2 linked regions of the Mytilus edulis genome follow. The protein of the gene in region 2 interacts with the protein of the main gene of each other region in a biochemical or structural test. Links are inferred from orthologs where the notes say so. Each region holds a gene or a part of one and is shown on either strand. Other genes may lie near its edges.

The links.
Region 1: of the proteins of serine/threonine-protein kinase VRK1-like (region 2) and barrier-to-autointegration factor-like, one has a biochemical effect on the other in vitro, tested with the Caenorhabditis elegans proteins (2 studies listed by BioGRID). The link is inferred for Mytilus edulis from reciprocal best matches to the Caenorhabditis elegans genes vrk-1 and baf-1.

What each region holds. Positions count from the first base shown.
Region 1 is NC_092346.1:5,255,228-5,271,742, reverse strand, and holds barrier-to-autointegration factor-like, read right to left. Parts: upstream 6,290-16,515; 5' UTR 6,173-6,289; intron 4,428-6,172; 5' UTR 4,424-4,427; coding exon 4,298-4,423; intron 3,559-4,297; coding exon 3,412-3,558; 3' UTR 2,442-3,411; intron 1,848-2,441; 3' UTR 772-1,847; downstream 1-771. UniProt on the Caenorhabditis elegans protein: DNA-binding protein which plays an essential role in nuclear envelope formation. Required for normal chromosome segregation during mitosis. Associates with the nuclear lamina via its interaction with LEM domain containing proteins emr-1 and lem-2.
Region 2 is NC_092346.1:41,396,105-41,412,604, forward strand, and holds the start of serine/threonine-protein kinase VRK1-like, read right to left. Parts: upstream 6,348-16,500; 5' UTR 6,124-6,347; intron 4,865-6,123; 5' UTR 4,862-4,864; coding exon 4,834-4,861; intron 3,994-4,833; coding exon 3,853-3,993; intron 1,117-3,852; coding exon 1,070-1,116; intron 451-1,069; coding exon 381-450; intron 212-380; exon of another isoform or gene 196-211; coding exon of another isoform or gene 129-195; intron 1-128. Other genes in the region: protein phosphatase 1 regulatory subunit 37-like, read left to right, coding at 6,442-6,724, 7,801-7,898, 8,409-8,454, 8,753-8,853, 9,988-10,107, 11,483-11,633, 12,159-12,304, 12,709-12,834 and 3 more. UniProt on the Caenorhabditis elegans protein: Serine/threonine kinase that phosphorylates baf-1, thus regulating the association of baf-1 with chromatin and nuclear membrane proteins during nuclear envelope formation. May act through the egl-17 signaling pathway.

The sequences.
Region 1 (16,515 bases), about 36 Mb from region 2:
TTTTTGAGGTTTTAGGCAATTTCTCAGGTATTCAAGCAACAGCTCATATATTTGGTATATGGAATGATTGTATGGTGTCCGGCAGGGCTCAACTGACCTTGGCCTCATTATCAATATTTAGTTGAGATAAGAACCTTTCCTCCGATACTATAAGCAATGGGTTAATTATGTTTGATGTATGGAATGATTGTAACACATACATATAAAGTAGAAGATGTGGTATGATTGCAAATGAGACTACCCTCCACAAGAGACCATATGATGTAGACAATAGGACTAAACAATAGTCAAAATACATACAGCATAGAAAGCCCCAAAATGACAAATGTAAAACCCAATCAAACAAGAAAACCAACGGCCTGATTAATAAACAAAACAATAGTCCTCCCTAATCTTGGACGGTGATTTAATAGTAAAATATAAGCAGTTATAACAAGAATGTGTGCCTAGTACACGGATACCCCATCCACACTATCATTTTCTATTTTGAGTGGACCTTGAAAATGGGGTAAAAACTCTAAATTTGGCATTAAAATTAGAAAGATCATATAGGGAACATGTTTACTAAGTTTCAAGTTGATCCGACTTCATCAAAAACTACCTTTATCAAAAGCTTTAACCTGAAGCGGGACAGATGAATTAACGGAGGGACATACCGGAAAACATAATGCCCAGAAATGGGACACAAAAAGAGGCAAAAGGTACAAAAGGAACACTCAAACTCCAATTATCTGAAAAAGGAAACATGGCGGAGGAATTTAATTACATAAAGTAGATAAAACAAAGCTTTTATTTATCTAATAAATTACAACTACCGGTACATATAATCTCATCACCATTTTGTACTGGTAATTACAATGTCAACAATGTGGCAGAACTCAGATCAAGTTATTCAAACTAATAATTTTATTATTATTTGCAGTCCTCTTTCTGAACTAATTTAATTAATTACAGTTTACTATGACATTCCCCTTGATTTAAAGTTGGATGCATCTGCTTTTAAATTTACATGATTAATTTGGGATAATTGGCTTTAAAATAACTACAAATGACATTACATGCACTTAAACAAGAGAACTTTTGTCTGGTTACATAGTGAGGCCAGTACAAAGTTCCATATATATATTTTTTGATCAATTAAAAGTCATATTTTGCACCAAATATTAAAAAAAAAAGGTAACAACTACTAAAGGAAAGCGTTACACCTATGTTAACAACAAAAATATTGCAAACTAAACAAATAAAATACTTTGGATATTTTTTATGTACGACATCATCACAAACTACATTTAATTAGTAAATCAAAGTTAATGAATATCATATAAACGCTTTAATATTGAAATACCATTTGGTTTTGACAGCGTTAAGGTTTTGACTCTGCTAGTGATTGAAACACTCAAACAAATAGAATAGAATTTGTGGAGCTTCCTCTTTAGCAGATAAAATGTTTAGTATTAAAAATTCTAAATTGGTGCATTACCATGTAACTATCAATTTGATTTCAAGTTTTAAACAATAAAACTTGGACAAACTAATATTCAATTCACATAAAAAGTTACAATGTCAAAGAAAGAAAAATAACCAACCAAACTTGCACATTCATGAATGTAATCTAACATGTTTATCTGGTGAAATTCTTGTGTACTGTATACATTTCAATAAAATATATGATAAGGGTGTGAATACATAAACACATGGCTATATAAATAAATGTTCAAATAGCAACCAAAATTCAACCAGCCAGGTTAATTCACCACTGAACTGTTTCTTCTAAAATAAAACCAGCCATGAAGCAGGTTTTGAGTTGATGAGTGAGGCACTGAGAAGCTGGTTTTCATTTATTTGGCCTTAAGGTAGATTCATGGTATACCGCCATCTTGGATTGAACAATCACAGTAAAAAATCGGTCTAGTTATTTGCCTAAATCTGCAAATTTGAAGACAGATTTGCAATTTAATGGTTAGACTGTTTAATAATATAAAGAAAACTTGGCAATTTATTGTATAATCCAAAATATTTAAACAAATATAATTTTTCTTGTTTTTAGAATCATTTTTTTCATACGAGCCATTTAAGGGAAGATAACTCTTTTAGTAAAAAATTTATACTGGACAGATAGGGAATTTTTTTCTTTTTACTTGTAGCAAGAAAACAAGTTCGGTGACACCATTTTTTCTTTTTATTTTCTTAAAACATATTACAAAACCTATCTTTTCACAATTTTTTTCAAAATTCTATCTCATAGATTTTTTTTATGCACACAAATGTGTTTTCCCATGAACAATCTAACCAAATTTAGGCAATTTTTAACGACTCATAGCTTGAAAAATAGCACGGTGACCCCTCCTTTTTATTATATATTTGAAAAGAGCATATTAAAATCTTCATTCTGGCTAAGTATAAGAAAATTCTGTCTCAAAAAATATTTACTTATGATCTACCTTAAAACAATAAGAATAAAATAAATGGCAACACAGTTAACATCTTTGGGATGCTTCCTCCCACCATCAAAACTTGCCATCCCTTCTAAAACAAAATACTGCAGATTGTAGAAGAATTGTATTTTTCATTATTTAATTTTGTGGCTTTGTCAAATCCTGCATGCAAGTCTATTTAATGGTGTATTTCATTGAACATTCAAATCATTGGTTCACCTTAACCCACAAAATAGTTATTCCATGAATAATAATTATATATAGTAATGCAATAGTTACAACAATAACTTCATAACTGTGTTGTATAAATAAGATATGCTTATTTTGTTGTAAATGTGGCTTCATTGTTGTATAAAAATTAATAAATTATTTGATGAAAATGAACAATTAGTAAATATATTTTGAAAGCTATGTGCATAAACAAATAGATCTGACAGCTACATTACATATTCAAGACAACTGTTTTAGAAATAATAGGATGCAATAAGCTGCATCATTTTATAAAAAAGCTCAAAATTTGACTGTATGTGTTATTTCAATGATTTACAAAGTTTAGCTAAATGTAACCAGCCCTTTTTGCATTCATATTTGAAAAAAACTTTTGATGATTACAAAACAAAATCATAACAATACAATTGACTTGACCTATAGTCTTTCTTGCAGGCCTGATGTTTTTCAGGTAAATATATAGTGTTTTAGTGTTTTTTTCCTAAAATCATGAAAAATATTATTTTTTATATTATAAACTCATTTGTTCCTCAGTTATTGAATTATTATCAACATAGTCAAAAATGTGTATTTTTGATTTAAAATTTTTAATTCAGAATATTCGTATTTGATAATACACAATAAATGTCCTTGGTTGATTAACAAAGATACATTAAATGCTAACCAATAAAACACTTGGAAGATGATTAAAGGTTCCACATTTATAAGATGATAATAGTTTTACATTTTTATCGTACTGATACAACATTCACAAGAATTGATCACACCACTCTTTTAAGCATTGAAAGCAGTCATTCTGTTGTTTTGAAGTGGCTCCAGTCAAATCTTTCAACCAATCTTTAAACATATCTTCATCTTTTTTCAGCACTAAAAACTGTCCTAAGACAACATAGGCCTGAAAAAAAGATATACACAAAGCATTAAGAAAAAACGTTTGTTTAGGGAGGGTTTCCTAATTTCTAAAAAAATTATCGGTAGGTAGAAATTTTTATATATGGAAGTTTTTAACGACCTTGACTGGCTATACAGCCCTCGCACGGTCGGTTTTAGAATTTTTTATCTTATTTTACTCATTTATATAATCAAGTACAAGTGTATCGGGTCAACCTGCAATTTTGTCATGATTCACTATAAACCAATGAAAACTTTAGACTAGGTTTTTAAATTTTGCATTACATCATTACTATGAAAATCATCACTTCAATCTTTTAACAGACAGATCTATGTATCAATATGTATATTTAGGCAACTTTCACAAGCATAAGACAAACGCGAATATAATTTGTTGCTAAAAGTTAACTCTTGGATCTTTCCTGAGAAAAATGTACCTAACTACATCAAGTAAATTTGAAAATCGTGAAATTAAACCAGAAAGGGCTAAATGCAAAATAAAGCATTTGTGAAAATAAGTTGGTTTACAGTATAGTAAAGATAGTTATCGTTCTTGTTTTAAAGTTCTTGTAAAAAACAAAAATGGTAGTTGACAACGGTTGGACAGACAGACAACGGTATACCATAAAACGTCACGTAAACAGGTGTTTAAAAACTCTTTGTTTCAACACCTGCCCAACTGTAATTTTGTCAGCATCTTCTTGTATATTTTTGTGTTATTTATCAAAAGTGATAAAACTTACACAATCAAAACCTGCTTCTGTCAGTCTACCACCATAAACTGGTCCAATCCCTGCGAGCTCTGTTACAGGTTTGTCACCCATTGGCTCCATTACAAAATTTCTGTGTTTTTGAGAAGTTGAAGACATTTTACTACAAAGATAAGAAATTTTCATATAACTAGTTAAACATACTGGTTGATTCTGTGAATGATCAAGTGGTCTCAGGGACAGGACCTAACATTTCAACAGACTTTCCATTTGAAAATGTTTCTTCAAATAGTTGGTACATGTATAAAATAAATGAATCTGGAATCAAAATATTCTTGAAATATATATCTCATTTGATGAATTGAAAATAATTTCTATTGCATATAAACCTTTCTCTTTTTACTAGTTTATAATCTGTCCAGTGATTGATGGACAGGCAATCATTATAAAACAAGGTAAATTTCATACATGTGTAACTTTACAGTTCAATATGAAATATTAAAGGTTGACCATGTTGACCACAGAAGCAAAGTTTGAACTAAAAACCAAAAATTTACCAGACATATTTTTCGTGAGACCAGGACTCATAGACTCACCTTAGTGGGAACCTGACTGAAATCATCTATTGCAGTAAAATTGTCAAAATACTCATGCATCCTACAAATGTACCATGCCCAATGAATACAGAATCATTGTGGGGCTAAATCCTAATGGACATCATTTCATATAGATAAGATATATGGAACAGACACCATGCATGGCAGTCTTCACACTGAACTGCTAAATCTACAGGCTCCCAGCACAATTTTAGAAAATTTTTAGTTAGATTCTGTTGGCCTGTAGGTCTGATTTTTACAGGCCCGAGAGCAATTTTACCAGCCTGAGCTGCCTGGGCTGCCACTCCGCGTGAAGACTAGCATGGATACACATTAATGACAGCTAAAGAATAAGACAATTATGACTCTCACAAGTTACTTTTAATACATATATATTAACTTTCACTTTCTATTTATAATGATAGTGTCACCATAACAACAATATATATGTACTTTCACTTTCTATTTATAATGATAGTGTCACAATAACAACAATATATGTACTTTACTGTCTACTTTTGATAGAATAAACCATAGAATAGTGGTATCATGTTCACCATAAGTGTGGGAGATCGTTGGTTATATTAAAGAATTGCTATATTTTGGTTCCTACATTTTATTGTTTCATTGTTTCAGATCAAAGGGACCAAGCTGATAAAAATAATTATCTTTTGTGTTTTCATTTAAAATCTTCAATGTTTTCATCGTACCAAGCTATAAATACATTCAGTATTTGCAACAAAGCAATTTAAAAAACCCAATCATGATTTTCCAATTATTCAACTGGAATTTGAATTAAAATTGGGCGCGAACGTGTAGAGTGCGAACGGACCTTGGGTGCGAACGTGCGAGGTGCCAACGTGTAGGGTGCGAAAGTGTATTGGGCGCGAACAGACCTGATACCGTTGGTTTGAAACCCAGCCGGGTCAAACCAAAGACTAAAAATCACCAAATAGCAAATAAATGATGAACAAATTGCAATCAAATCAATAACTAGATTAATATTGTATTTTCTATTCACATTAATCATTAACATATGGATAAAACACGTCACATGGATTTTATAATTAACAAATCCAGAACTTTAAATCAAACAACTTATACCTGACACAACTAATAAGTTACTGGTAATGTGGAATTTGATGGGTGAAGCTCAATGAAGCTCTGATGTTTGCCCAACAAATTAGGGAAAACGAAAGTGGACTATAAACCTTGTGGCGGAATGCATTTATTGTCATTTTATTTGCAGTTGTCATTACTTTAATCGCCTGATTGATGCTTCCTTCATATATAAGATTATGAACGTACTCACTTGTGTTGGGATTTTTCCGATTTAAAGATAAATAATGTACTGTTTCGTCGAGTTTCGTTTTCAGGAAATTGGCGCTTTCACAAGTAGTCAATGTATAAAAGCAGCTTGAATCAGTTTCAATTTTTCAGCTATACTTAAACATTAAAAAGATTCTGACTTTTTCTTTTGATCTAGATCTGTCCTCCTCACATAGGAGAACCGTAAAATAAATATTTTTTTAAAGCATTTAACATGTTCTAGGTAATTTGAATATTTGTACTTTCTTGTTTTAAGGTTGCAATAATTGACCTTTCGGTAGGGGGTCAAGTGTTTTGTCTGAGTCCGGAATTTTTTTTTGCGCCACTAATATTAACATATTTTTTTTAGCTTTTAGACACTAACAATCAAAATCTAACACTGTCACCGTACACCACAGAGAAAATATGAATTTAGAGCATCTGCTTGATCACAATATTTTTTTTCATCAAATTGGGACTGAGACTACTATATATAACAATAGTAGTCTCATCTTGGGGATAGAATATTTCTAAGGAAAAAACCAACATTAAAATGTTAAATGGTTCTGCTCCCTTAAATAATTTTTTTAAAAAGGGATTAAGTGAAATTAATAACCTGTTTCCACTGAAGCTAAATAAGGAAAAACATATGCTAAACATTGAGATTATAAAAATATAGATTCTAATTATTCCTGATATAATTTTTAAGATGGAAAGTGAAAAAAAATAGTTTGTGTCCATGGAAAATCAACCAGGGAAAAAAAAAAAATTTTAATTTTGTATTATAATATTATTTCCTCGTTCCTGTTTGATATTGTGAAAATTTTGCTACAATTCAAGCCATTCTTTTAAGGGGGGTCCCAGAGAAAAAAAAAGGGGGGGTGGGGGGGGGTAGGCACTTGTCTTAGAAAATAAAATTAGGTATATAGGATTTATTTTTTCTGAGACAAGACTTAGTGCCTGTATGCGTGTTTGTTTGTGGAAAGGGGGGGGGGGCAAATATATGTCCCATTTTAATGCATAGATCATATAAAACTAGATGTGTCAAAGCGACACGAATGGCCCTGTCTCAAAAAGTTGAAAAATCTGCAATTTCAATAACACATGTGGACACAAACATGATGGTAGTCTCTCATATATAAAAAAATCAGATCAAAATCTGGAGGTGTATAGAAAAAAAGTCTGTATAACTATGATTTTCAAAGTTGTAAACCCTTAATTTTGACAAAATTAGAGGAGCGGAACGAAACTTAAACTTAATCTGTAACTCATCATGGTTAGCTCACATATCAAAAATCATCCCAATATCTGAAAACCTTTAGAATAAAAGTCAGACTGTGATTTTTAACAATTTATCAAAGTCCAAATGCAGTAATTACAGCAAAAATTAGCTTTGTTGCTTTTTTTTTTCTCACATCAGGAATTAATATGGAAAAGTATTCTTGTACCTACAAAACCACAAATTATCAATAAATTCTCTTAAATTCTTAGTACAAAACATTTTCCTCAAAAGTTGTGTATATCAGATATATTTTGATTGTTTGTATGCAAATCTGGTTGTTGGTTTACAATTTTGAACGCTTTAACATTTTGTCATGAGGGGCCATTTGTTTTCCTCAGAGTTCAGTATTCTCATGACATTACTTTTTGTTTGCTATGTGGTATTGTTTTTGCTCTTTATTGAAGGCAACACAGTGACCTTCAGATGCTAACATCTACTGTATTTCGACTATGATGGATAGCTGTTTCTCTGGCAATCATACCACATCTATTTTTTATCACATCTTTTTTCATTAAAAATGCACAAAAGACTATATCATTATTATTTTTTTTTTGGGGTGAGTTTAATATGTACCCAAGAACCAGAAAAAATATTTAAAAGGTTAACAGGAATTTGCAAAATATTGGACTGTGCAATAGACCATCTTAATCAACAACACCTAACTTCTCTGAAATGGTTGAGATAGCCTGACATTTTTGCATGTACAAAATGTGATGGGTTTGAACCAATTTTTCTTATATACTGGTTTTAACTTATCAAGACCATGTGTTCTAAAAGTAAAATACACAACAAACAAGAATATGTGTCTATAGGACACTTTGCTATGCAGTGGCAGATCCATAACTTTTCACAATTGGGGGCTGAATGACTGCCTGAGAGGGGGCTTGCTCCGGTCATGCTGCAATGATTCCCTATATAATCAACCATTTTTTCCACAGAAAAAAGGGGGCAGGACACCCCCCCCCCCCCCTCTTAATCCACCTCTGCCATGATCCCACCATCACAAGTTCACTGGTACATGATATCCAGGTATATATATTCTATGTCTATTGGTGATATTAAGAAAATACCATAATAGGTCAAACATTTAGAACAAATGGACAAACAGTGTGTGGATTAATCAAAGTGCTTGTAAGCAATGAAAGGTAAAGATTGCTTTAGTTCAGTGGGAGGTTAAATTAAACATTTCATTGTGTAAAGCATTAGATGTAGTTGATTCAACTACAATTACGGACAAAGAAAGATAACTCCAAACCAAAGATTACTTTAACAATGATATCATTGATATTTTTAGAACAGATATTAGGTTAATGCTTATTGCAAAAGTTGTAATTTTCTTCACTTAGTAACTTGAATATCTTAGCAAATATTTCATTCATAAATTTCTGGATAGGATGTTAAGAATGTTATTGATCAATTCACTATATTTTGTTCATCTCAGAAGTAGTTTTAAACCATGAAAGATTTAGGTATCAATTCAGTAGAATCAGTACCGTAGGGACTGATTTCATTTCATGCAATCTTAACCCAAAATTGAGGTTTGTTTTGGCAAAGTGATAATAAATAAAAATATGACTGTATGGAAGATAAAATTTATTAGTTCTAGAGACTTTCGTCATATGTTAACATTATGTATGTGTATCACAGCATTTAGACACCTTTCTATAAATACTATATCTAAATCATTGTAGCAATAGCTCGTATGGTCCACATTTTAATATAAACAGTACCTAATTTTTTTATCACATAAAAGGTATCATTAAAATTTTACATTATTAATGAACTTATAACAGGCAGTAAAGGCCAGACAAACCCTGCCAAACAGACAAGCAATTAATCCATAATAACTGAAAAATATTGTGTGTAAAAACTTTACAGTTTTCTTTAGCAGTCACTGAACGCTGAAGACAAAGTTTATACAATATTATATGCCAGATGGAAACATTCATCCATAAAGATGTATACTTTGTTAACAGCTTTAAAGCAATATATCTGTCAAGCATAAAAAAAAAAGAAGTTTTGAACTAAGTTAATATACGTTTATCTTGAACTATTGTTACAAGAAAAAAAAAGTTTTTTAAAGAAAAAAAAAGATATGTGATAAATTCTGCTTCATTCATTGCATATGAGACAATGCATATTTATATAGGACCATAAGAGTTATTCTACAGAACTAATAATAACAAAGTCTTCCTCTATCTCAATCTGTGAGGTGATAATATATTTTTGAATTTACAAATCAACTTCTTTATAATTACAGAGATATAATAAAATGTAAGTGTTTATGAGAAAATGTGGTTTGAGTGCCCATGAGACAAGTTTCCTGACCTAGCCTAAGTGCTTATCCTAACAAGTTTTACTGACTCTGTGGGACCAAACAAAACAGGAAGAAGCATAGACATATATAAAGATTACAAAAAAAAATGTAAATGGAAGTACACTTGATTTCAAAATTCAAATTAAATGCACTCTGGATAGTATTATCAAAATTTACAACAAAACCTTCAGTAAGCAGTTTCATAAATACAAAGGGAAGTAATCAAAATGTATGATCACAAATACAAAGGGAAGTAATCAAAATGTATGATTGCAAAAACTGAGTACGACATCTGTTCACCAGACAGCAAAGGACATGGATAAAAGCAAATATAGGTCACCATACATCCTTCAAGCAATGCTTTTTTTCCAGATTCTTTAGAAACAGAATGAAATTAATCTATGTTACTTTGAAGCCAATAGAAAATTTATAAAGTTGATTGACAAACAAGAGGCTCTCAAGAGCCTGAATCGCTCACCTGAATTTTTTTGGTTTAATCTCTCATCAATGATTATTTGGCTTTTCAATTTATTTAAATGTTCTTTGAATCGTCCTATTTTCTTCAAAAGCAAAAAAAAATCATTTTCTCCTATGTTCTATTTTAGCCATAGGAGCTATGTTTCTTGACATACAAGGAAATGAAATATAAAATTTATACTAGATACTCTGAAACTCTGAAACTCATTTAGCCTAAGTTTGGCTGAAATTGATACAGCAGTTTCATAAGAGAAGATTTTTTAAAGTAAGTCAACATGATGAACAAATTGTGAAAAAAGTCTTTAAAGGGCAATAACTCCTAAAGAGGTCAATTGACAATTTTGGTCAAATTGACTTATTTGTAGATCTTACTTTGCTGATCATATTTGCTGTTTACAGTTTATCTTTATCTATAATAATATTCAAGATAATGACCAAAAACTGCAAAATTTCCTTAAAATTACCAATTAAGTGGCAGCAACCCAACAATTGGATGTTTGATTCATCTGAAAATTTCAGGGCTGATAGATATTGACCTAATGAACATTTTTAGCCTGTCAGATTTGCTCTTAATGCTTTCGTTTTTGAGATATAAGCCAAAAACTGCATTTGACCCCTATGTTCTATTTTAAGTAACGGCGGCCATGTTTTTTGACGGATCAAAAATTAAAGCACACACTTTGTGCAGGATAATCTAAGGAACAACCATGCTAAGTTTTAACCAAATCCATTCAGTAGTTTCAGAGGAGAAGATTTTTTAAAGTTGGCAAATATGATGAACAAATTGTGAAAAATTGTCATTAAAGGACAATAACCCCTTAAGGGGTCAATTGACAATTTTGGTCATATTAACTTATTTGTAGATCTTACTTTGCTGTTTACAGTTTATCTTTATCTATAATAATATTCAAGATAATGACCAAAAACTGCAAAATTTCCTTAAAATTACCAATTAAGTGGCAGCAACCCAACAATTGGATGTTTGTTTCATCTGAAAATTTCAAGGCTGATAAATATTGACCTAATGAACATTTTTACTCCATGTCAGATTTGCTCTTAATGCTTTCGTTTTTGAGATATAAGCCAAAAACTGCATTTGACCCCTATGTTCTATTTTAAGTAACGGCGGCCATGTTTTTTGACGGATCAAAAATCAAAGCACACACTTTGTGCAGGATAATCTAAGGAACAACCATGCTAAGTTTTAACCAAATCCATTCAGTAGTTTCAGAGGAGAAGATTTTTTAAAGTTAGCAAATATGATGAACAAATTGTGAAAAATTGTCATTAAAGGACAATAACCCCTTAAGGGGTCAATTGACAATTTTGGTCATATTAACTTATTTGTAGATCTTACTTTGCTGATCTTTTTTGCTGTTTACAGTTTATCTTTATCTATAATAATATTCAAGATAATGACCAAAAACTGCAAAATTTCCTTAAAATTATCAATTAAGTGGCAGCAACCCAACAATGGTTTGTTTGATTCATCTGAAAATTTCAGGGCTGATAGATCTTGACCTAATGAACATTTTTATCCCATGTCAGATTTGCTCTAAATGCTTTCGTTTTTGAGATATAAGCCAAAAACTGCATTTGACCCCTATGTTCTATTTTAAGTAACGGCGGCCATCTTTTTTGACGGATCAAAAATCGAAGCGCACATTTTGTGCAGGATATACTAAGGAACAATCATGTTAAGTTTCATTCAAATCCATTCAGTAGTTTCAGAGGAGAAGATGTTTGAAAAATTGTTAACGACGACAGACGACGACGACGACGGACGCCAAGTGATGAGAAAAGCTCACATGGCCTTTTAGGCCAGGTGAGCTAAAAACATGCAAGTGATTTGAACAGTAATGTTCCTCAATATTGGTATGAAAATTTGTCCACTGAAAAATTGCGTAGTTTAATAGCATCAGATCTTTTTTTCTTGTCTTCCAGGTAAAGAATGCAAATAAGACAAGATTAAAGAAGTTCTAAAAGCCATTATAATAATCTTTACTTGATATGTAAATATTTATTGCACTCTCCTGATTTTGTTTTTTTTAGGAATGTTTAGAGGAATTTTTAACAAAATTAATTAAATGATATGATATATGAATTGAAAAGGGCCAATAAAATCTATATAAATAATTTTACATGAAGTTTTGTAAGAAAGACATCAAAAGTTATTGGAACAGAACAACACCAAGATGTATCTAAAATTTACAATGGTTATCTACTACAAATGTATTAACAAAAAGTTATATAACAAAAACAAAGGGAGGTCATCCCATAAAACATTTAAAAAGCGAATTGATTTGCGTTTAACTATAACAAATACAATATTTACAATATACAAGTACAAATTACATGTAAAGCGCTCCTATAACAAGAAAGACAATCAATTCTATAACATAGATTATAGGTTAGTCTTGATTATACTTACAAACCAAATAACATAAGCTCTATATACACAATTTGATCAACTAAATGATCAACTAAGGAATAAAGTAACTGGTATATCCTACATGACTCAACAAACAGATCTCTAAACTTAATGTTGCTTAAAAAAATACAAACTATTATTGAGACAAATAATGAATATGTTGCATTTGAGATCACAATGGGAAAAGTTCACATATAAATATTTTTTTTATATAAGAATGTCTCTTTATTATTGCCAAAATAATTCTAAGAGATTCACTTTGAACTAACCTCCATCAGCGTGAAGAAGAAAAACGTGTGCAGGATTTCAGTCTGGAGACAGTATGTAAAGGTTAAAAATAACAACTAATAATTCAGCACCTAATATAAACATTCATCATTCATTGAGCACCTATAAAAAGATCTTGCAAGACAGAACTAGTCAACTAAGGCAGAACTAGTCAGCTGAGGCAGAACTAGTCAGCTAAGACAGAACTAGTTATCTAAGGCAGAACTACACAGTTAAACTGGACCTTCTAAAGATAATATATCGGGTTGCCATTTATAATCATGCTGCTTATTTTAAAACTCAATATCATATCTTAACATTGAATATTATAAGGAAAATGAAAAATAATTTTACAGGAAAGTCTTTTGATTAGAACTTCACATTTCCTTTTTAAAACCGGTATATTTTAATGCATCAGAATTAAAGAACCAAATAGAGATTTTTATAAGGGAGATAACTTATTAAAAAAATTGTTCAAAGTAGATATTTTTGTGATTTCTAGAATCTAGAAATTAGGAACGTTTATCTTAATTCTTCTATTTCTTTTTTGATACTGTCCTAAAAAATATGACATAAATTTCTTTTATTAATTTCTTATGTGAAAATAGAATTACTAACCACACTTTTAATAAAAATATGAATTATGAAGTCATCCAAGATCACTCATTGTATGTACATAGGCATTCAGTTAAAATTAAGAATATTTAATTAAGGAATGACTGTAATATTTTTTCTGTCTATGAAGAAATAACATAAACAAGAGGCTCTCAAGAGCCTGAATCGCTCACCTTAATTTTTTTGGTTAAATCTCTCATTAATGATTATTTTTGCTTTTCAATTTATTTAAATGTTCTTTGAATCGTCCTATTTTCTTCAAAAGCAAAAAAAAAAAATCATTTTCTCCTATGTTCTATTTTAGCCATAGGAGCTATGTATCTGACATACAAGGAAATGAAATATAAAATTTATACTAGATACTCTGAAACTCATTTAGCCTAAGTTTGGCTGAAATTGATACAGCAGTTTCAATTAAGGAGAAGATTTTTTAAAGTAAGTCAACATGATGAACAAATTGTGAAAAAAGTCTTTAAAGGGCAATAACTCCTGAAGGGGTCAATTGACAATTTTGGTCAAATTGACTTATTTGTAGATCTTACTTTGCTTAACATTTTTGCTATTAACAGTTTATCTGTATCTTTAATAATATTCAAGATAATAACCAAAAACTGCAAAATTTCTTTAAAATCATCAATTCAGGGGCATTATACCTGAAAAAACAGTTACCCAATTCGGCTGAAAATTTCAGGACAGGTAGACCTTGACCTAATAAATACTTTAACTTCTTGTCTTATTTGCTCTAAATGCTGGAGTTTTTGAGATAAATAACTGATATAAGCCAAAAACTGCATTTTACCCTGTGTTCTATTTTTAGCCATGACGGCCATGTTTTTTGACGAAATAAAAAATAAAGCACAAACTTTATTTTATACACCCTACTGATCGATCATTCAGTTGCAGTTTGGTTGAATTTGGTTTAGTAGTTTTAGAGGAGAAGATTTTTTTAAAGTTAGCAAATATGATGAACAAATTGTGAAAAATTGTCATTAAAGGACAATAACCCCTTAAGGGGTCAATTGACAATTTTGGTCATATTAACTTATTTGTAGATCTTACTTTGCTGATCATTTTTGCTGTTTACAGTTTATCTTTATCTATAATAATATTCAAGATAATGATCAAAAACTGCAAAATTTCCTTAAAATTACCAATTAAGTGGCAGCAACCCAACAATGGTTTGTTTGATTCATCTGAAAATTTCAGGGCTGATAGATCTTGACCTAATAAACATTTTTACCCCATGTCAGATTTGCTCTAAATGCTTTCGTTTTTGAGATATAAGCCAAAAACTGCATTGACCCCTATGTTCTATTTTAAGTAACGGCGGCCATGTTTTTTGACGGATAAAAAATCGAAGCACACACTTTGTGCAGGATAATCTAAGGAACAATCATGCTAAGTTTCATCCAAATCCATTCAGTAGTTTCAGAGGAGAAGATTTTTTAAAGTTAGCAAATGTGATGAACAAATTGTGAAAAATTGTCATTAAAGGACAATAACCCCTTAAGGGGTCAATTGACAATTTTGGTCATATTAACTTATTTGTAGATCTTACTTTGCTGATCAATTTTGCTGTTTACAGTTTATCTTTATCTATAATAATATTCAAGATAATGACCAAAAACTGCAAAATTTCCTTAAAATTACCAATTAAGTGGCAGCAACCCAACAATGTTTTGTTTGATTCATCTGAAAATTTCAGGGCTGATAGATCTTGACCTAATGAACATTTTTACCCCATGTCAGATTTGCTCTAAATGCTTACGTTTTTGAGATATAAGCCAAAAACTGCATTTGACCCCTATGTTCTATTTTAAGTAACGGCGGCCATGTTTTTTGACGGATCAAAAATCGAAGCACACACTTTGTGCAGGATAATCTAAGGAACAATCATGCTAAGTTTCATTCAAATCCATTCAGTAGTTTCAGAGGAGAAGATGTTTGAAAAATTGTTAACGACGACAGACGACGACGACGACGACGACGACGGACGCCAAGTGATGAGAAAGCTCACATGGCCTTTTAGGCCAGGTGAGCTAAAAAATGTGGTGCACACTGGATAATGCGCATCGCGAGTTATTTAACAGTGTGCACCACATTTTTTATGTTATTTCGAATAGACTGACAAAATATTACAGTTATTTCTTATAATTTAATTTTTAAAATCCATTTTAAACCGGCGTAAATCATGAAAAAATGTTGATGACGTCATGGTCACATGACAAAATTATGTCTATGATATGATAAACAAAACAACGTCAACCAATCATAAGACGTGTTACATCCTAAATTATATTATTGTAAAATAATATGAATAACATGTCGAACATGGATTCTATGTTTTACTTTTACTACTATGTTCACGATAACATGATTATTCCAATTCTGGCTTAAAAAAGTCTACTCATTAACAGACAAAAACTCTAAATAACAATTAACAATATGACAAATTTGGAACCATAACATTTGACAAACAAGATATTACTTACTGGATTGAAGATCTAATAACACTTAGGGTGGGAGGTGAAAATCTTATTTATTACTGACAAATGTATCTAGTGCTGACTATACCTTCTTATTAAATAAGGAAAACACTCAAAAAGAAGCACCTTTTCTGGAATAGAACATTTCATTAAAACCCATTAATATTTCCCATTTTCAACAAAAAGTGGGGAATCAAATGAATAAATATGGAATGCACTGTATTTACAACCAATCTAAGTTTTTAATTGATATTAGTAAACCTATACATGTATAAATTATCGGGTTTACTAATTAAATATGAATTGAAAACTTAGATTGGCTGTAAATACAGTGCATTCCATATTTATTCAAAATTTTATAAATATTTTAATAAGCATCCCTATATGAAGACACAGTACCAATTCAAAATCTAAAGCATTCTGGGTAATGAAGTCACCAAACCCCCTAACCAACCAGGCCTGTAGCCAGGAA
Region 2 (16,500 bases):
TTTCTTTTCTTTTTTGCTGTGTTTAAATATCTAAAATTGTCTGTTCACAACCCCTTCTGCAGTATATCTATATTTTTGATTATAAGGTTGATTGGCCATTTTATATTTTGTTCTTTACATGTACTCACCCATTTCTGGTTTAGCTACTCTCTGATACACATGGAGTTCACAGAACAATGGTCCATCCTCACCCATTTCTGGTTTAGCTACTCTCTGATACACATGGAGTTCACAGAACAATGGTCCATACTCACCCATTTCTGGTTTAGCTACTCTCTGATACACATGGAGTTCACAGAACAATGGTCCATACTCACCCATTTCTGGTTTAGCTACTCTCTGATACACATGGAGTTCACAGAACAATGGTCCATACTCACCCATTTCTGGTTTAGCTACTCTCTGATACACATGGAGTTCACAGAACAATGGTCCATTAGCTATGGGTTCCTGAAATACCAAATTATGTTGACATACATGGCTAAATCTATGATGGCTATTAAGAATTTTTCCTATTTAACAGTTATTTGAGATTTTATTGCAATTCATCCAAATACTTTGTCTGCAGGTAACAGTTTTTTAATGTACAAAACTGTTCAAGGTACAAAATGTACTGTCAAAAGGATATCAAATGAAAAAGAAAAGCATTCTCAATATGCTGTACACATGTTTAAGCAAATGTTCATTTTATCTGTAACTTCTGATCAAACAACAGCACTCCAAAACTAGGCAATCTTCATGGAATCCATCACAGAAGCTGCGACTCAATGTAAACAAGTGAATTGTGATACAAATTAGAAGTTTTCAGGGTTATTCCGTTTGAACATAGCTTACACTAACATAAGGCAGAAATATTTCTCATAAAACAATTATTCATATTGAAAATGCCAAAGAGTTGTTATTAAGTTAGAAAGCAGAAATTATATAGTACACATATGTATGCACAATTACCTTGTTAGTTTCAAAAAAATAAATATAAAAGTTACAAATCATAAAACACTGTAGCTAGCCCTCTCTGTATTTAAAATATAATGTTTTTCTTCTAAATCATTTGTAAATCAGAACTTACAATTTTAACAACATAAGTTTCATCTTTTGTACCATCTACAAGGGTAGCTAAAAGAATAAAAAAAAACATTTGAAAATTTATTCCATTATGAGAATAAACATCATGTATAGCAATGAACAGACACTCAACGCATTTAAAAAAAAAGTTAACACACAAATCTCTGTTTGTAAAGATACAGAATCTAGGTTTTAGCTTTAAACTATTACCAGATCAGATAGCTTTGATAACACTTTTCTTTTAAACAGTTGAAGTCCTTTTTATTGCAACATTTGATAAATAACAGGATTTTTTTTTAAGGGTGAGTGATTCCATAAAACTGATTATATATATATTTGAATTTATATTTTAAAATCATATCAATCGTCAAATTGTCAAAAACATGTATATAATTTTTTGAGCGATTTTTGAGCCTCCTAAATGTATATACCTGTATGTACTGTTCATAAAAATAATAAATTGCATCAATAGTCATTTAATTAATTTAATAGTTTCATGCAGCATTTGTCTCCTGTCTTGTTAATCTGAAAATATCTTCTCTTTTGTAAGTTCCTACTTTTCTATATGGGATCCAACACATTTCAATCTAATTAAAAACCAATCTCTCATTGCTCCCTTTTTCTGATATGTCGCTTGGGAGATCTAACGAAACCCACTTTGAGGTCACATGTGAGTGACCTTGTAGGTGTGTCTTTTTCGACTAATGAAAATGAGTCTTCGACGATCTTGAAAGTTTAACGTAAGGTAAAGGGATGTAACTCATTTTATTTACAAAGAAATCTTCAGTCCAAAAAATTCATAAACTTTTTTGATTGGCTTATTGATAGGTCGTCAACTCATTTGCATATCATTATAAATTCATAATTTCTAGTTCACTCACATGTGACCTCAAAGCGGGTTTCGTTAGATCTCCTACGCGACATATCAGAAAACAGAAGCGATGAGAGATTGGTTTTTAATTAGATTGACAACATTTCTTCCTGTACAAATGCTGTACATAAACTGTGCTGCAATGTCTTATTTTAATGAAATCCATCATAATTACTATTGTAACTATTTTGTAATTAATTTCTTACAATTAATAAGAACCACTAAAATGACTCCTTTTAAATTATTGAAAGTAACTAATTTTCTCGCTGTATTGAAGACCCATTGGTGGCTTTCAGCTGTTTTCTGCTCTTTGATGGGTTGTTGTCTCTTTGACACATTTCCCATTTCCTTTTTCTATTTCAAGTAAACAATAACAGTGTTCTAGCTACAATGTTTGAACAGGGCGCAGCGCTAGCTCTTTTTTATTGACGCCCATGCCTTTTTTCTGTTGTTCCTTGGGTGCCCTGCTAATTTTATCACAGAAATATCGGCATTTTTCTGCCTTTAAAATACTGGTAAAATCGTAATTGTTCCATGAACATGAAGTTCAGCTACCTGTGCAAGCTGTCAAATTAAGTGACCCAATAAGTGTATGGCTTTACCTGACTGCTTTGGTGTCAAACACATTGTTAATTAACACCAATTACCTTAGATTTAGGTCATAAACATGATAAATAATTTGTGTGTATTTCAAAAAAGTTTGAAAAACAATTTGATTACTTCCCCTTATTTAACACCTGTTTAAAATATATTACTTAAATTTATGTTTCATTTCGTAAAAAGATTAAATCTAAAAAAAATTGAATGCAAATGAGCATTAGAATATTAATTTAAATTATTTTCACTTGAATACACTTCAAAAATAAATATTTTGAAAATTATATTTTGCATCTATACTTCCATTAACTGATTTATCAAGTGCAATGAAGAATTCCCAATGTTGAAAAATATGATTGGTCTTACTGCTGTGGTGACAGCAACTACAAGACAGCTTTAATAAAGATAAAAAAAAAACTACAAGACAGCTTAGCGTAAATGTAAGTTTTGTCAATTTCATGTTATCTGTAGCAAGATAATGTATCTTCAGAAGAAGGAATTTACTTAAAAATTTAAACAGTAATGTTGATCTTATTAGACTATTTAAATACACTGTAAAACATTATATAACTTACCTGTATGAATATTTGTGTGATGCAAGATGTATGAGAAATGTTTTTGAGAAACACTTTTTAAAGAATAATATTCTGGTACAAGAAACCGAAGGTGTCATAACATTTAATTTCTAATTATTGTGCTGATTATTATAATATATATGTGATTATACTAAGAACATTGCCTTGTGATATTTTTGTGTAATATGTAATATATCTGTTGTATATATATGTTGAAGAATTGAATAAAGATATAAAAAAAACTACAAGACAGCTTAATATACAGTGTTAGGCAATAGTTTCGAAGAGGGTTTCAGCATGATGACTATAGATTTATGAACTATAAGAAATGAACCAAAATAATTAAATTACACAACTCCATTTTAACTGAAACTTGATGTTTCAATAATGCATAATAAAAATTATGTGCTAATTAATTATGAGGCACAATTACGCTCTTTTCAATGATATATAAATTTACGTGTAAAATTGCCCTTTTTTTCAATGACATTCACGCCTAAAAATGACCTTTTTCTGTCTAGCACCCTGCCCTTTTCAAATTCTGGCTAGAACACTGAATAATGCCAATACATATTTATGAATTATACATGTACACAAAGTCTATGTCACTCTTATTTCATTGCTTTCTGTTATAATTGACAAAAATGCAATTAGGAATTTTGATACCTTCATTTATTTTGATCAAGATGATTCATTACAGAATCCCAACAAATAAAATTGAGCAAACAATAATATAAATTTTACCTAGATATATAAGTCCAAATCCTCCCTGGCCAATCACTTCTCCTAGGCGCCAATGTTTTTTCCCATAATCCTTCAGTAATTCCCCTTTTGGAAATGGGTCTGGTAATTTATGTGCTTTGGGAGCTCTGGTTTTCTTTTGAGCTATAAATAAAATCTTTGCTACACAAGACAAACTTATTTACATGTGGAGCTTGACATAAAATCATGCTTTGAATATACAAAGTTGACATGTTTTGTTAATGCAGACAAGTAACTGTTATAAACCAGGACATTTCATGATGATTATATATGTAAATGACTGTATTCTTATCTTGTCCACTTGAAATGTTGTCTATTAGTTTAAAACAGTATCAACATGATCAAAATAGAACATAAATGTTTTCAATTTAGAGTTATGACCCTTTCCTCCATAGATTTTTTTTTTACACACTGAATTTGCATAGGATTTTTTCAATCAAAAAAAATCATCAGGTATAAAGTATTGAAAACAAATATTTCATCAATGAAATTAAGTCAGATATTCTAATGAATATCCTTTTTATATTAGATACAAATTTTATTAAGTCTGATACACATTTTTTGTAAGCAAGTGTGAGTCGCAAGACGTTACAACTGATCGAGGAACTATACAGGCGTCATAATGGAGTAAAGGGGGTGGCACCAAAAAGCTTCATTAGGGTTAATGCATAATTTTGTAGTTGTACAGCAATTCCTTATAATTTTATATCTTACATCAAAATCTTAATCATATATAAAAGTTTGTAGTATATCAAAATATTCAATTATACATAAATGACATATATATTAAGTGCCTAGAAAATCAACCCTATGATGTTTAGGGTGGATTTAATTCTTTACTTCCTCCCTGAGCAGTGCTGGAACTTGCACTTTATTTCTCACTTTTACAACATATAAATATATGGGTAATGTTTTTTTTTTATTTATCAATGTGATTTTATTTTACTGCCCAATAACACTTACCAGAGCCTGCCTTTGCCTTGGGCGGCATTATCTGAAAGATAAAAAAAAATGTATTGAATTACATTTAAATTCATACTTATAAAATCATCTGAATGTTAAGTTTTTCATACAACCAGTGAACCAGAAATTCTAAAAGATCTTACAACCTTGTGATTGATCTGACATTAAATAATAAACCATGTATGTTAGCTATACATGCTATATGTTCTCAGCAAGAATGGAGAAAATAAACAGAAGAAAAGAAAAGTGATTGTTGTATAATCACCTCAATGGTTCAAGTGATGCAAATTAATGGATGAAGAGTGAATGGCAAATTTCCAAAATCAAATCAAGTATCTGTCAACAGGCTCTGATAGCCTATGCATGTTCAGTTCTTAATATGGTAAATATGAAACAAATTTAATAGACCACTTTCGACAAAAATGTTCAAGTTCATCCGTCACTGGAAAAAATTCGTCAATTATGCGCGCCTTTATGACGTCATTTACCAGATAGAGGGGGTCGCCTGTATCCCTGCACTATTAACATTCATCAAGCGTCTTAGTGATCGTCATTGTGCAGGATGAACTAGAAATAATTTTTGTTTTGTAGGTACTTCATTACAATTTCCTATTAATGACAGCAGTGTTGATTGTCAATTATTAGAATTTAATTTGCCAAATGATTCGTGTAATATAACATTATAGTTTCCCGGCCACTTGCTCAACATTGGAACGGTAGTGACCACGCCCCTAAACGCACGAATGATGTTCACTAAAACCAGAGTTTTTGACGGTGTTCACTAAAACCAGAGTTTTTGACGGAAATGCATCAAACTCGAAAGTTGTCTATAGATATGATACAAAAATCAGAGATACATTATAAGATATATCTAGGATATCATATTTTTACAATTTTCAGCATTGTCTGGGTGCCTCAATCGGCTGCCCACAAACCCTGTCTCGTCTACAACTGTTCCTGAGTAAATATAAATATGATTGAATAAGCTTTATTTAGAGTCGGCAAGGTATACAAACATAAGCTCTAATGAGCTTTTTACCGAGCTTTTGAGGCCTAGTTACCGTCCTATTTATACTCAGTTAACAGACGATATGAGTTCACAAACAGTTGAAGGATGTATGATGACTTGAAGTCTCTGGTAGATGATGATATAAACATGTATGTCAAGAAATAATTTAGTGGCAGTGCACAAATGAAGGGCTAAATATTTTCATTTCTTCAGTTTTTAAATTTGATTTCCAAATTGTATAAACATATATCAGCTCTTTCTTAAAAAGGCTAATAAATCACCTGATGTTTTTGATTGTTGAGAAACAAAATATTATGTTCTTAGTTTTCTGTAAAGCACTAAATTTCCAGCATTTCTGGTTCTCTTGTCCTCTCTTCGAACAGAAAGTAGAAATATCAAATATTCCGCCAAAGACAAAAATAAATCAGACTTTTTGATTGGCTAATGGAAATACAGCTGTCCAATCAATAAAAGTCTTACAAAAGTCAGTTGATTGATTGCGTGTAATGAAAATGGAGAATGTTTTCATAAAATTGAATTATTTATTTCGTCATTCTATCCAACAAAAAGAGTCGATAACATGACATAACACTGGAAAAATGTCAGAAATAGAAATTACAACAACTGCTAACTCAGAAAACAACAATGACAATACAGAAAAAGTGGAAGAAACAGAACCGTCACCTGTTGGTGATTCTAAATGTGATATGCAGGAAGTAAACAATGCATCTCGAGATGAATCGGAAGCTGATTTATCGAATACAAAAGAAATTAACACTTCAGAAAATCAAGATAAGAAAAGCCCATTGAAAAGAAATGTGAAATTTTTTGGTGATAAACCTGTGTCCGGTTATCTTGAACCTCCAGATCCTTGGAAAAATGGTGTGTATTGTTTGGAGTAAAAAGCACATTTTAGCATTTATCACATGTCTAATCTAGATAGATAATTACACGATAACTCCATACCAAAATACGGGCGTCAAAATAGTCTGTGTTGATTAGTCCGAGATTACTCTGACGTCCAACGGCTGTTTTGCCAGACAAGCTGGGGCCGTGGGACGTCAGAGCTCGTCCCATATCAAAAATTGGATATTTGCTTACCCAAAATAGTTACGCTGCTTCGTCGCTTCTGGTGCCGACTGACGGCCTTGGAATTATATAAATCGGGCATCAATCTGTTCAATTTTCATTTATCTTTTCATTTATGTAAGTTTCACCTACCTGCCAACCTTTATTTTTCCATATTTTAACAGTTTCCACAGAGACCCATCGATTTCTGCATTTTGCCTGGTACATGTATTAACATTTGATTTTTTTGTTTATGGAAAAATATTTGTGACATCACCTTGTTTCTTTGCCATGCCAAGACAATAACATCATTTCGCAGAATTTTTGTTTTATGAAATTTTACCATGAAAAATAAATTGAAATGGACTGATTTGTTTATTTTGCTGTAGAACAGAGGTAAATATATTGTATCTGAATCTTGCCCTTAGTAAACTGGCAATTTTTATGTTGAAAATTGAGAATATCTGGCAGTATAAATAAGTTGGTCATACTGCAGAACAGCCATTTTTGTATATTACTGCGTTTGCGCTAAAGATGTGATTATACTGGTTGACTATAACAGGTCGTCATATTAGAATCCTTATTTTTTCTATGGGACTGGATTGACTTGGGACCAGAACAACATATGCAGGATTTATTTCACTTTTGGAGCCGTAGCTACCTGATACTTGCAGGTTTGAAATCTAAAGTAGAAATAAGTACATGTATGTTGAGGATCAAATAGATATGTTTACCTGAAACCTACTTAGAATATTGTAAGCAAAATTGACACTCAGGTTATTGAACATAATTGAAAAAATTGATATGGTGTAAAGTACTTATGTAATTATATATATGTCATCTGATAAAGAATTATTTCTTTATAAATGGTCGATATTTTTTTTTTTCAGCACCAAGTTGGACTTCAGCAGATCTAATTAATTCATACAAAGAAAGCTGTAAAAAGCACAACACCAGGCCTATTCCCACTATACTTAATCAGTTACAGGTATACATAAGGAATTATTTGATTCTGCAATAATTTTGAATTCTGGAAACTTTATAAGAAATGTATAATGAAAACTATTTTAGCCATTGTGGGAATATCTATGAATAGTACTGTTAATTCCAAAATATTGAGATGTTGTTATTATTGCGAAAAGGATTATAATCACAATAAATAAAACTCAGATTTTAAATTTTTATATGAATGAAACAGGATATTTCTGAATATCTCAAAATTTAAAATCACATCATTGCTCTCCTCTTATATTTATGCGTTTCCGTCAGTTTTAGTTTGTTACCCCGATTTTGTTTTTTGTCCATGGATTTATGAGTTTAAACAGCGGTACACTACTGTTGCCTTTTTAGTCTAAAATTACAATATCTCAATAATAAATGCATGTAATAATTTCTGAATTTACAGTTAACTCTTTTTTTTTTAAAAAGAACTAACTCAATTTAATATTCATCAACTGAGATAGTCTGTGTATCTTATATTCTGTCATTATTTATTCAGGGAATAGAAAATGTTGGTGAACGCTATGCAATCCTGAGTTTGAAAGGTAAGTTATAAATTAAACAGCTACCTAAAGTGTATGTGCCTGTTCTTCCTACAACACATTTCTCACATAAGTTTGATCTAAATATTTTTGACAAGGTTAAAATTTTGTAAAATCTGCACGTTTCATTTCAGGCAGATATACAGGGATACCTCTGTTTCAGAATGACCTTTAAAAAAATGAAAGAATCAATTAAGTTATATTACAGAGATTACATACATGTAATTATAAAGGACTGGCCTTAAATTTATCTGATACTTCATAAAATAGTGACATCAATTATATTTATTTCTGTTCACAGGTGAAAAACTTGACATGAAGAATGTGGAGACTTTGGAAGAAATATTTAAGTTTGTTCAATTTCAATGTGTTGATTTGGAGGGAACACATTTAGATGAGGAGGTATTTAAGTTTGAAAGTAGCTCTAATTAAATGACAATTCCTAAAATTGATTATAAACCTACATGTAGATAAAAATGAAATTTAGTCATCAAAACACCAAAACTGATAAGTCTGACTTCATAAAGTTTATCTACCCAATCAATCACACAGGTGCAAGTGAAGATTTGCTCACTGCATTGAAGACCTGTTGGTGACCTTCTGCTGTTGTCTGTTCTATGGTAGGGTTGTTGTCTCTTTGACACATTCCCCATTTCCATTCTCAATTTTATTTATCACACATTTTGTATCTTGAATAATATAAAAATACGAAGAAATACTGTTCTATACTTGATTTCTTTATTTTCTTACAGTAAAATTTAGTAGCAAATCTTTTAAATAGTTCTCCCCTCCAGTATTTTTAATAGATATAAGAAGATGTAGCATGGGTGCCATTGAGACAACTCACATCCAAGTCACAATTTGTAAAATTTGTAAAAGTAAACCATTATAGGTCAAAGTATGGTCTTCAACAGGAAGCCTTGGCTCTCACCAAAAAGCAAGATATGAAGGGCCCCAAAAATGACTAGTGTAAAACCATTCAAACAAGAAAACAGTCTAATCTATATAAGAAACGTGTGTTCATTTAGGTACTGATGGCAATTCATAGGTTTTAACCAATTCCTCTCTTTTACAAAGTTGCAAATAAAAATCCTCTCAGATTTTCCCCCCAATCCTATCTATTTAAATTACTACTTTTATGTATTGTTACTGGAATACTGGTATTAAAATTCCAAATGTGTATGGATTTTTATGCCCCACCTACGATAGTAGAGGGGCATTATGTTTTCTGGTCTGTGCGTCCGTTCGTTCGTTCGTTCGTCCGTCTGTCCCGCTTCAGGTTAAAGTTTTTGGTCGAGGTAGTTTTTGATGAAGTTGAAGTCCAATCGACTTCAAACTTGGTACACATGTTCCCTATGATATGATCTTTCTAATTTTAATGCCAAATTAGAGATTTTACCCCAATTTCACGGTCCACTGAACATAGAAAATGATAGTGCGAGTGGGGCATTCGTGTACTGAGGACACATTCTTGTTTTAAACTAAATACACAGTTATAAACTGTCAATCACTTCATTCATGAATTTTATTTTGCAGACTTCCGTAGCAATATTCGAGATGATAGAATATTATGAGAGTGCTTGTAAAGTGAATGTTTCCTTCAACAAAGGTATATCAATAAGAGGCTGGCAGTCCTGTGCCAAAATGGTCAGAAAGGTATTTATTGGTTTGTTTTATCATTTTATTAAGTACCCCATGCTGAGATGAAAAGAGGATATATATATATAGTTGGTGAACCTTGTCAGACATTCTTTATGCTGGTTTTTAGATGGTAAATCAAATTCTTGAATTTCATATAATATTGCAACCTTATATGCAGGGGTCGAATTTAAGCTTTTTTGTGTACTGGCAAGCTGGACCAGCTGACTGAAAACTCTACTGGTCCGGCTCCAAATCTACTGGTCCTGCAAAAATGACATAAATTTGACAAACACTAATATAAATGATAGATTTTTAATTTTATTTTGATGCTTTCCTCTACATAAGTTAGACAGGAACAAAGGGATAGTCTTGATTCTGATTTTGAAAAAGGCTTTGATAATCTCAATGATTTTCTTTATCAAAATCAGGATCAAGGACAGAAAAAGTATCAACATTGTCTTCCACGTCATCCTAATCCTCACGGCCACCATAGGGTGTCTAACTGGGTCGTCTAGAGCGCTGTCCAGAAATATTCCACATTTCAATAGCCAGGAATAATGAATCTGATAAGATCTGATAAATCAGTTGGATGCAATTTTAATCGCCAATCTTTCTTTACAAGTTTCATCTAAGAAAACCCCCTTTCTGCATCAGCAGAATGATCAGGAAGGGAAAGAATTTCGATCTCCCTTTTGATTTTCACTTATTTGAACTTTTTTGTCCAGTGGTTTAACTCCTTCCAAAAATTTCCACATTTTATATTGTTATGAAGGACACTCACCCAAGATAGTAATTAACTTGATCAATTGTAATACCCCCCCAGTACTGTGTAATTGTTTTCACAGGTAAATTGTTTTGTAAAGAAATGGAGATTGCGATGCAATCAGTGATTTTTATTGACAAATTTCTACTGGTCCGCCGGACAACCAACTGATAAAATCTATGGGTCCGACGCCCATTCTACTGGTCCTGGACCATCGGACCAGCGCTAATTTCGACCCCTGCTTATATGTGTATATTGTATAGAGAAGATGATCTTTATTCATTTTGAAATCATTATGTCCATGATTAATTTCGAAGTTACTGAAATAGACCAAAATTTGTACAAGAAAGTGGTCTATGGCCAATATCAAATACTTCATATAAAATTGAAACTGTACCTTCGATATATTGTCATATACGTTTTAACTATAATACCAACTGCTTGAACCGAAAAATTAATCTTATCACACCTTGTCAAGAACATTGAAAAAATGTAGCTTAAAGGAAACATGAGGAGTGGTTGTTTTTAGTCTGGTAAGTGATACAATAACTTATAATCTATATTATTGTTTCAATAATGAAGAAAATTTCAATATATGTGTTAATTCAATTAAACTTTTTATTGTAGACTCCTGCTTTAACATTCCTAGATGCCAGAAGCTGTGATATTAATGAAAGATCGTTACCTATTATGGGGAGAGCCCTCAGGATGGGTTGTTTCCTGAAAATACTCCATTTAGAAAATACTTATTTGTCTGGCCGATCTCTGGTCATACTTGGTAAGTTTAATCAATGAGCTGTAAAATTGAAAATGGAAATGGGAATGTTTCAAAGAGACAACAACTCGACCAAAGAGCAGAAAACAGTCAACGACCACCAACGGGTCTTCAACATAAAGAGAAAATCAAGAACCTGGAAGTGCTTCTGCTGGCCCTGAAACAAAAATGTGTACTATTTCAGTGAAAATGAACATCATATATACTAAACTCTGTAATATATAAATGAACTAAAATGAAAATCATGCAAGACTTACAAATGCCAGAGGCTCCTTACTTGGGACAGGTGCATTAATGCGGCTGAGTTTAACATGTTTGGAAGATCTCAACCCTTCCCTTTCTAGCTAATGTAGAAAAAGCAAACACACAGCAATATGCACAGTAAAACTCAGTTTAAAAGAAGTCGGAGAGCTATGGAAATTTCTATTGCATAAAGCTGTCAAAGTTTGCAAGCTGGTCAACATGGATTTCTATAATAGCTCAATGTATCATGTATCTCTATTATCTCTTTTGTTGTTATTTTTTCAGTTGCAGCTATAAAGATGAACGACATTCTTAAAGAACTGTTTCTAGCTGACAACAAGTTAATGCCTACAGATGGAATACAGATAGGGAGTCTACTAAAGTATAATCATGTACTAGAGTTACTGGATCTTAGAAATAATCCTTTACAGGTTAGTTTCATGGGAAAAAGTATAAAGAACAAAAAAAAATTATTGCATGCATTTGTTATTGGGATTTTGTCATTTTAGACTAGAATTTGATTTAATTTTTTGCGATATTGAGAGAAATTCTGTTCAATTCATAAAAAAAATATATTCAAAATGCAAGTTTTTATTGCGATTATTACCCTGTCGCATTATTTGCAATAAAAAAAAAAATTGCAATAATTTCTGAAATTACAGTATTTGGAACTCATATACTTATAGAGTCCTTAGAAATTGATAATACTGTGCTGTGACTCTTATAGAGATCTAAGAAAATGTATCATGATTTAAATATGCATTGCTTTTTCTAGAATGGAAATAACATTTACAAAACTGACCAATTAATCATTGTATATTTTTTTTCATTTCAGGACATAGGCATTACACATGTATCTGATGGTTTATATGAACAGAATTTAGACCAAGGTTTAAATACACTGGTTCTGTGGAATAATCAGCTTACCTATCAAGGCATGGCATCTATAGCTAAAGCTCTTGTAAGTAGACTTAATCATGCTAATTGAAATGGAACAAATTTTATAAGCTTGTCTCTTCAATATTAAAAAAAATATAATCTATTTTGTTATTGTGTCACATATTGATTGACATACATATTATACAATACATTAAAATGTATAGAACAATGAATATCCAGTTATATTATTTGGATTATGAGACACATTGCACAAAATATGTACAAATATAAAAATCCAAAGATAATTTGAAGAACTATATATTAAAACTAATAACTATGATTTAAAGAGTATTTTCAAAATGATGAATAAAACAGAAGAAAAAATATATAAATTATTTTTCATAAAAAATATTTACTTTACTTTTATCAAAAACTTCATACCTATGTGAAAATATTTACGTAAAGATATCTAGAAAAGTTATTTGAACTCCCATCCAACATTATAGGATTAAACACATTTTTTCTAGAGGTTATTGATGTGTAAACCGGGGCGATTAACTCACAAACTGAATAAAAGTCCGAAGAAGGACTTTTATGTTGAGTTTGTGAGTAAGAGCCCCGGTTTACACATCAATAACCTCTAGAAAAAATGTGTTTAATCCTTATAATTCTTCAGCCAAACATTTTTTTGTTGATGGCTACTATATATATTCACCATTAAAAGCACAATGGCAAGTCGTAACTAAGGAGTACGCCGCCATCTTGACTTTCTAAAAACCATAAATGTCCGATAAATACAACGGAATCTTAAATGAAACAGCACCTACCTCAAAAACTTCATTTTAATTAAATTTTTTCCGAATTTAAAGCGTACACGTAACGAAATAATCTTTACCTTGAAAATTTCCATTCGTATGACGTCGTGTTTTGCCATGACGTAAATTCGCCAAATCATTCATGAAATTTCGTGGAATTTTATTAAATTTAATTTTTGTACATTTTCGAAGCTTTAGTGCAATAAATTTATTTCTTTTTTTGTTATATATGCACTAGAATAGTCACAACTGTTATGCAATTGTTTTTAATCTCAATTTGCTGAAAATCCCGGGATCACTGCAAGCTTGTGTATCGCGCATGAATAGATTACAAAAGTAGTTTCGGAAACATGGTTTATCGAAGTGTAAACTTAGAGAAAAATTCTAATTGACTAATCCAATTCAAGTATTTACAGATATGCAAATCATATAAGAATTATATATTATTTAACTTGAGTGGCTAAAACAGTCATCACTTTATCACTGTAACCTTTTTCTTAAAAAAATCATAGAATGTTATGAATGAACTTTTTTAAATACTTTTATTGACTTGTTATTTCAGACCTCTACACAATGTCTAGAAACTTTAAACTTAGGACACAATAATATAACAAACGAAGGAATTCATCAAATGAAGGAGGGACTTCTACAGAACAAATCTTTATTACGTCTTGGTCTACAGGGAACTAAAGTCACTTGTGAAGGTTTGAATGAAAGAAATGATGATATTTTAGTACTTTTTCTGAGTTATTTGTGTGTTCACTTTCATTATCCTCAAAGGTTAAATTTTATATATTGAAATTCTTGATTGTGCTATTTCGTTGATAGCTATGTGTAGCCTGTAGGAGGTGCTTTTAAATTTTTTTATCATTTTTTTTAGCTGAAAATTGTATAACTTGACCTAGGAAACACTTATCAACTTTACTGCCAATATAAACCAAACAGATATCTGTAAATGTGGTAAATTTCCTGCAGGAGAAATTTTCAATTATTTCACATTCGCAAGAAATGCATAAAACCTAACCCAATTATTTGTAAATTGTTAATACTATTGATGTGAAGTACTCAAATGGAACCTCTGCATGTTGAAATGATAAAAGTATTATTTCATGTTATACATATAAACTTATACGTGTAGAAGATAAAATCACAAAATACTGAACTCCGAGAAAAATTTAAAACAGAAAGGTCCTAATCAAATTGTAAAATCAAAAGCTCAAACACATCAACGAATGAAAAACAACTTATACATGATTTTCCTATGCAATGTCAATAACATTGGCGTTTAACATCAAGTTTTCGCTCTTCTTGGCTGAGAACAATCATTCTTGGTATTGTAGCTTGATATAAAAAAGATAAAGGCAAAAGTGAAGAAAATAGTCATTAAATAGTACATCATTCACCTTTCTTTAATATAGGAGCAGTAGCATTAGCAGAAGTAATAGCAGACAGTCAGAATTTTTTACGGATTGATTTGCGGGAAAATGAGATAAAAACAGCTGGCCTGATGGCATTATCATTATCACTTAAAGTCAACGATATTTTACATCGACTGGACTTGGATAAGGACTTAAAGAAAGAAACTGTAAGTGTTCCTTTATAGAAATTTATCAACATTTTATAAAAGTTTACAAACAGTAGACTTACTAGAAAGCCCTCAACACCGATCAAATGAAAAAAGGAAGCCACACAATAAACCATAGCAAAGCAAGTTTTATTCCACATACAACAAACCAAATAATCTACATTACTATTTAAGTGGCTTATGATTAAACTTTAAAGGTTTTCTCTAATGTTGATTTCTAAACTTTGTGTCTATAAAAAAAAACCAGGACTAATAGACTTTTAAAGATTTATTCATCTATTGAATCCACTTTATACAAAAAATATGTGAAATTTCAACACTTTACTCATCAATAAAACAACTAAATGTATGCACATTCAATAATTTAAAAAAATTATGCTTTAAACAACTACAAAAAGCAATAAAATGCACACTTCATGTTCATAAATTTTTTTAAAAAGTAGTCCTTGTAAATGTTGCAGTGTCCAATAATTGTTTAATCATACAACATTAAACTTTAAACTGTCAACCAATTAGAATGCATGAATCATTTCAAATTTAGATATAGTGAATTTATAGCTTTTAGCTCTGGTGTTCTTCACAGGGAATAAAAGACTATGCAGATCAACAGAAAAGATTATTGCAGGACATTAACAAAAAGTTAGAGGATAATCGAGAAATGTTTTATAAATTGGAAAGAGAGAAAAATTTAGAGAAAGCCAAACAGGCTAAAGAACATGACGATGAGGAATCAGAGATGACATATTTTGAGCATTGTGATAAAGTTAGACGGCCTAGTTTATTATACATGCCAGACTGTCCCCGTGAAGTCACTTTAGATTCGCCACGTTGTACAGAAGAACCTGTTGATTACATTCCATTTTCAGCTCCAAACTCTGTTATTACAACTCCCCCTGGGGAATTACTTCTGTCCCCACAGTTCTGTCCCTCTGTGAAAGCCCGTAAAATATTCACAGTCACGAAATGTGCTCCCCATCCTTCTGGTTTAAGTATACCTTCTATACGACCACCAGTAGGGGAACATCCAATAGCACTATCTTCCTCAACGCCAGTGTTACCGTTACAGCCAGTGCTAATAAACTCATCCAGTGAAATTCCAAATAATTCAGATATAATGAACAGTGATGGTGATAAAATCACTATAACATCAATTCCAAAAATAGAACCGTTGACTGTTTCTGATGTTACTCATGCTCTTGTAAATGAAAGTGTAAACCAATTTCTTAACCAAATTATCTGTGATGACTCTACAAAAACTGGTTCTACAAAAGACTCCAATGTTTCAGAGTCTACAGACACAAAATTAAGTACTGTTAGTGTTGTGACTCCTGACATGGATGCAAATGGT